Caenorhabditis elegans: one gene and its partner. The protein of the gene in region 2 interacts with the protein of the main gene of each other region in a biochemical or structural test. Each region holds a gene or a part of one and is shown on either strand. Other genes may lie near its edges.

What was found. The genes of interacting proteins can lie anywhere in the genome.
Region 1: of the proteins of nlp-49 (region 2) and seb-3, one has a biochemical effect on the other in vitro, tested with the Caenorhabditis elegans proteins (2 studies listed by BioGRID, with this or other methods).

Annotation. Positions count from the first base shown.
Region 1 is NC_003284.9:15,024,151-15,027,907, reverse strand, and holds the start of seb-3 (G_PROTEIN_RECEP_F2_4 domain-containing protein), read right to left. Parts: upstream 1,601-3,757; 5' UTR 1,587-1,600; coding exon 1,510-1,586; intron 1,204-1,509; coding exon 1,082-1,203; intron 160-1,081; exon of another isoform or gene 32-159; intron 1-31.
Region 2 is NC_003284.9:5,902,537-5,905,886, reverse strand, and holds nlp-49 (Neuropeptide-Like Protein), read right to left. Parts: upstream 1,235-3,350; 5' UTR 1,218-1,234; coding exon 1,158-1,217; intron 1,112-1,157; coding exon 1,039-1,111; intron 992-1,038; coding exon 906-991; 3' UTR 542-905; downstream 1-541.

The DNA of each region.
Region 1 (3,757 bases), 9.1 Mb from region 2:
AATTTTCCCTACACAATTTTACAAAATACTAGCGGCTAGAAGAAAAAAGCAGGCAAAGTTTTGAGTGTTGCGCTCTGCCTTTTTTTTTCTCTTTGTTTTTCGCACTAGCTGCCGGAAGCATCGGCGTTGCGTCGAGTTTGATGAATGACTAAGATAAAAGTATCACCAGAAACGAGCAAAAACGCTTCTCGATTTTTTTTTTTCGAGGAATCCATCGGCTTAAAACCGAGTGGAAGGCATTCGTGTCTTTGTGGTTTGACGTGTGTTCCAGGAGTTGAGCTTTTTATAAATGGCTCTAGATAAACATAGCAAACTACAGAGCAATCGGTCAGAAAGTTCATGTGAGCTCGCTCAAAAGAACGGGAAGATGAGGATCTAATAAAAGACAACAACTAAAAACAGGAGCCAAGACAAACTAATTGTACATTAATTGAAACATGTCTTAACAGTTGAGCAGATTATGTAAAATATTGGAATACTTAAAGGTGGAGTAGCGTCAGTGGGGATTTTTTGTTGGCCGACTTCCTAAATTATGAGTTACTGAACACCCATAGCTTGCTGAATAGCTCCCAATAGCAACATGTGCACATTATCACATGTTAAGGGCTAGTGGAGCTACAGCTTTTAATTTTTGAAAATTACTACACTGATACTTTGAAAGATCATCTTCTTAATAGGTCACTACAAGAAATTTAGCTGCATACGGGCACTGTGAACCAGAAAAAAGTAGATCTGAAATTGCTTTCAGGAAATTTTAATTTTTCAAATTTTCTGGGCAAAGTCATGTAAAAATTTTCAGTCAGAACATAGCTAAAAGTTATTTTCAACCACACAATTATTTCAGAAACAAATCTAATTTCAGAAGTCTACTTTTTATTCTTCCAATACCATTGATGTACTCATAATACACTTGCTAACCCTTCATGAAAAAAAAAACGTCCCATTCAATTAAGAAACAAATCAACGATTTACTTTTTTTGTTTTTCTAACCTTCATGGAGTATCTGAAGCGTTCATCAGTACCTAATCGCAAATTGCGGAAGTATTTTTCAACGCTTCCGTTTTTAGAAATTTCAACAAACCTTTAATTTCTTCGCACCCAGGAATTGCAGTGCAAAATGTGAATGGGCAGTCTCGGGTCATCTGCTGTCCAATATGTGCACTTGCCCAACATAATGATTTGTCAAAGTCAACTGAACAACCTCTGAAATGGCATAAATTTAATAATTCCTAATGATTAAATTTAACATTTTGAAACCTACAGGCTAAAATAAATAAATCAATTATTCACGTGGTGCCAGGTATGATCTACAAAAAATGCGGGAATTTTTCGCTTAAAAAATGTGACGTCACCACATTCTTAACCATGCTAAATCAGTTGAGAACTCTGCGTCTGTTCTCCCGCACTTTTTGTAGATCTACGTAGATCAAGTCGATATGCGACACTCTGACACCACGTGAGTTTGAAACTAGAACCTTTAAAAAAACTGAACACTGGAACTTGACCCACCCCGGATTATACGAACTGTTTTCCAGTTTTTTCAATTCTTGGCAGGCTGCATACTCGGCTCGTATAATACTTGTCATTGAGCAACAAGTTTCTGAAAGGTTGACAATGTAGGAAGAAGAAATCTGCGCAAAAGGACTGAAAATGACAATAACACGTCGAGTTCATAGTGGGTGGCAAAGAAGGGGTGAAAAAGGGAGGGGATGATGCTCCGGGCAAAAGAGGCAAAAGAGGGGGGGGGGGGGGGACAAAACTATTTTATTTTAGTGAGATGAAGAAAAAAAAAGAGAAAAAAGAGTGAATAAAACAAGTAATGGTGCGGCACGACCCGACGCCCTGAATGAAAATTGAGCCGTTAGTAGTAGCACCATTGAGATCTGTGAGAAAACAAAGAGCAGTCACAGAAAAGCCAATGGCTTACAGATTTCTAGGATGCCCGAGCAAAGGGCAATTGAGATTAGGCAACAATTTAGAGATTGTCTGAGATTAATTATAACTTGACATGTCTGCTTGCAAATCACAAACATAATAACAGATCTAGATATTCCTAAAGTTGGTTTCACGGATGTAAGAAGTCGATTTAGCAGCAGCAAAAATAAATATAAATAAATATGAAACCGAGAATAAGAGCACCGATGTGGAATATATAGAGTCCGGTTTTTGCCAGAACCTTCAAAGTATTTTGAAATGGTGAGGAAAGAAAGGATTACACGCCTCACTGCCAGATCCTGATTCATGGGTTTCCTTTTGTCATATAAGGTCTAAGAACCCACTAAAAAAGAGGCGACCAAGAACTCTTCAAAAAAAAAAAGAGGAAACTACATTCATTAGTCCCTTTTCACGGCGTGGAAATAATACTTCTAGGTTTACTCGCAATAAAAATAAGACTCGAATAGAAAAGGCTCAAACACCAATTGGAATAGGGAGGGGGGGGGGGGGGGGGGGGGGTGAAAAAGGAGTTGAAGTTGCTCAAATTGGCTTGGTGAAATGTTGAAAAGAAATGAAGAGGAAGGCGAACAAGCCGACCGAACAAGCTCGAACTTTTTGAATTAAAATGAACTTTTGCTGAGAGCAAAAATCCAAGCATAAGAAAGAACACGCCAACTGTCGGCTGCCCCCCCCCCCCCCCCCAAAAAAATTGTTTATTCTTAAAGATATTAAAAAGTTGCTTCTCAGGAAAATGAAGATAGATTGGCCTGCATAAAAAGTTGTTGTTGTTGTAGTATTCCCGGGTATTAAAGTGAAGAAATGTCGTGTAATTACCAAATGATTGGAAATGCAGATGCAAATGATCGGACAACCAATAGATGATTAGCTGGGTAAAGCTTACACGTAGGTTTAGGAGTTGTATGAAGTTAAAGCATTAAAGAAGGAGTAGCTTCAAAGGGGGTTTGTTTGAATACACTCATTATAGTCAAATGTGGGCGGAAATCACAAAAACGTGTACTTTTGAACATTTTCAAACAAGTCAGTTTCGGAAAATTTTCAAACAAAAAACTGGCCGTTTGAAAAAAAAATTGGGCATCGCATGTTTGAACCTCTACAATGTTGATTAAAAAAATTGAAATGTAACTTAAAGGTGGAGTAGCGCCAGTTACTGTCAAAACGTGACAGTTACTCAGTTTTTGCCACTCATAATTTTGGAAGTCGACCTGAAAAAAAAAATTTTCTACACTTTTTATACTGTAATTTTGTTTTAATTATTTGTATTAAAACATTGTAGGGGTCGGAACATGTGGCATTTCTTTGAAATTCCTCAAAAGCTCATATTTTTCAAAATTTTGGCAGTTTGCAAAAACTTCGGAAATTATGAAAAATCATTTTTGGAGTGTTTTATTATGATATTTGGTCGTTTTGAATCACGATAGATTTAGATTTAGATTTAGACAAAATCCCCACTGACGCTACTCAACCTTTAAATAGGAACGTCTTAGAAAACCAACAAATTTTAGTTGCCTTCTTTTTTATGAACTTATGAAATGCGAAAAGTAAGTAATTGCACTTTTAACTTTAATGAAACAATTTTACAAGAAATGTTAAAATGTATTCATGGTGTTTAATTAATTACTGTTACGATATTTTGCCATATTGGCGTTTCTTAAGCCAGAATTCTTAGTTGACATGTTTGAAAATTATACGAAAAAGGAAAAACCTCACAATTTTTAATTCAAATCATAAGAAAATTGGGTGTTTTTTTTCATCTTGAAGATAATATTTCCATTATTTTAGAAATTGAGTGTACTGTTGATGC
Region 2 (3,350 bases):
TAACATTGGAAAAAATCAGCTTTTGGGTAAATTTAGCAATTTTGTGCCTGGTGGAGCTTTCACTGGGCTATAATTCAAGCGACGTCCTAGCCGGGGACTGTGGCCGATAATCCAGTCGTGGATTGCTCCATTCCCAATAGAGTCTGGGTGAACCTAAGGGGCGAGGCCGGACTTGGAATCGTCATCTCCAGATTGCTAGCGGCCACCATTATTGACTGAGCTATCCTGCCCCCTCCCCCCCTAAGAAATTTTATCAGATAGAAAAACGTAGTTAATTTTCACAAATTTCAATTTCATTTTAAAAAAACAATTGACCACATTTTCGTATACAGTTTCTTTCATCCCATTATTGTTTTTACATGTTTAAGTTTTTCCAGAAAGAAAGCATTGCAAGCCAAATAATTTTTGGAGGCGGAAACTAACGAAGATCAGCTTACCGTTCATATTTGCATTTCACGTTTCCTTTTAATGCGACTTTTCCTTCCGTTCCTAATAAACGTATCCGGATGTATGAGTAACAAAAAAAATCTCTATATGACGTAACGATGAAATTATTTATTGGGTCAATGGAGCTTCAATTTGTTGTGGAGAGAAATGGAGAAAATGAAGACTAGATATATCAAGAAACTGACGAATATCAATAAACGTATACAAATTGAGGAGCAGCTTTGTTTTTTTTAGTTTTCAGGAACAGGTTGATTTTAATTTGAGATCTTTCAGTTTCGACACAAGTCAGCGACAGACAATGGGGGAGGGAATGAGAGAGAGAATAGTAAAAAAAATGAAAAGAGAGAGAGAGAGTAAGAGAGACACACAGAAAATTAGTTTCCTTTAATTACAGTCAGAGCCACAATATGAGAGGATGATGGGAATTTGATATTAGGGGTTAAGGATGAATTGTCAGTTTACTTTCTCCCGGAAGGCATGAAATGGAAGTTATCTCCTCCCTGTGGTGAAGCCATGTACTCTGCCAGAGAAAGTCCCATGGATGCTGAAAAATTGACGATTTTGCTGAATTTAGGTTCAATATTCACTCACGGCTTCTCTTAGACTTGAGCAACACAGTTCGGTATACTCGCGACATCAGTTGGTCGATATTTGAATCCTCAGTCTGAATTATATTAAAGAATAAACTTTGGTTCAATATTGGAACATACCCCATCAGCCCAGGCATAGGCAGCAATGCAGAAAACAGCCAAAAGCAGCCACTTCATCATTTTTGATGTGATTTTACCTGGAAATTAGAAAAATTAAACAATTTAAGATTAGATTAACAAAAGTCTAAAAAGATGACGAGCAAAAACGAGACGGCGCCGAGTTGAAGAATGACATGTTGAGATTGAAAAACATGATGTGAATGTTAGCGACTTGGGGCGGGGCTTTTGCTCTCAATGAATGGAAAAGCCGGGGGTTTGGAGTCACTGACGAACAATCCCAAGCTTAATTGTGGACATCTAGAGACACGGAATGGAGGAAGAAATCTGATTTTTTTTCCTTTTTCCAAGAAAGCGCCACTTGCTCTGACGAATTCATCCGGAAAAGTCGGAAGTTTATTGAAAAATGACGGAGCGGAAAAGGAAACAGATTTGGTGCGAGAAAATGCAGACAACACACAGAAAACCATGATAAGAATGAGTTGAAAACGCGTCGAGTCGACGGTTTTTATAAGAGCCATTGACGCATTCTATCATTTTCCATATCGCAATATTGCCACATGTGCCCTTTGTGTTTGCGCTAAATCGTATTAACACGTCTATAGGAATGTTGATTATCAAAGAAGATGCCGGACCCTCTCTGGCACCAGATGCAATCAAATTACGCCTACCACAAGTGTTGGGCGTCGAATACAACACAACCACCCAAATACATCATATTGTTAGTTATGATCGAATGGTGGTCGATAAATAATTAAGTATTATATGTAGTGGTTTGTATGTTAGGAAAGTCATGAGACATCTTTCAAAGGGATTTCGGCATATTTTCAAATCGAGCTTGATTTAAAGGTGGGGTTTAGAAATTATTTTTACTTTCAGTCAAATACTCAGTTTGCACCAATTTTTCGAAAGTCGTTGATAAAAAAATGTTGCTATGTATGCTCTTATTATTTTCAATATATTTATAATTCAAAAGTGTTCAAACAAACAGGTTCCAACACGTTCAATCTTGCGACTATGTTCAGATATCTCGAAAAGTGACGCCAACTCAGTGCTCACTACGAAAATCAAAAAATTTTAAAAATTTGTTCGAAAAGTTTTATTATGATGTTTGGTTAATTTGGCACAATAAAAATGTGTTGTAATCATTTCCTCCTTCACCTTTCTTCACCTTTTATTAGCATAAATCTTCGAAAAATTGTAAGCAAAATGAGTTAGAAATTTCATTTTTGTAATTACTGTCGTTTATAAATTAAGCGTATAATTTTCTAATTGGCTAAAAATTTTCAAGGACTTTTTCATTAAAGTAATAGTCTTTATCGTTACATTTTTTCATTTAGATTGGAAAATTATTGGACATAAATTGATTTCAGTTATCAGAGCAACATTATTAATATAAAAATTCAGTTTTTTTCAATTACGAAGAATATTATGATGATCGTTAAGAATTAATTTTCGAGTGGTTTATTAGGAAGCTGGAAGCATCAACATTATAGACGCATGATGAGCACATCACTAACACACCGCTTTGATCGAAAATTAACAACGTGCTTACCTTTTGCCATTCTCAAATTTCATTTCTCAGCTCTTTTTTGCTGAACTGCAGTTTTATATTTTTCAAACAAAATACTACTTTCAATAAAGTGACACTACTCTTTAGAATCATTAAATGTTCTTTCAGCTTCGATTGTTTGTTTTTCCGTGTATAACTTTTAGATTTGTCATAGAAATAATACTTCTATTGTAAATTGCCGGTTGTTATTCTAAGGTCAGTAAGGTCAGAAAGTTTTGTCAAGATATTTTAATCGGTGAGCTTTTCGAAAGCAAAAACTCATTTATAAATAAACTGAGAACGTTCCAACAACCCACTCAACTGGTCATTACCATGTTTTAATGAACTTTGGAAAACACTTTGGAAAATAGAAACAATGACGAACTTTGAATGAACTTAATTTGTAACGAGCATTAAGTATAGTAAAGTTTTATTTTAGATCTTTAACTAAAAAATGTTTTAGTATTGAAAAGATCAACGGGGTTGAAATATGAAAATTGAACAAGAAACATATTGTTAGGACCAAAGAAAAAGTCTTCATCAGCTAATGAAAACCATGAAATAATAATAAAGAAGATTTGCAAAAAAAAAATGTAGAAGCTGGAAGAAAAGAAGATTCAAAAAAGACATTCATGTAAGCATAA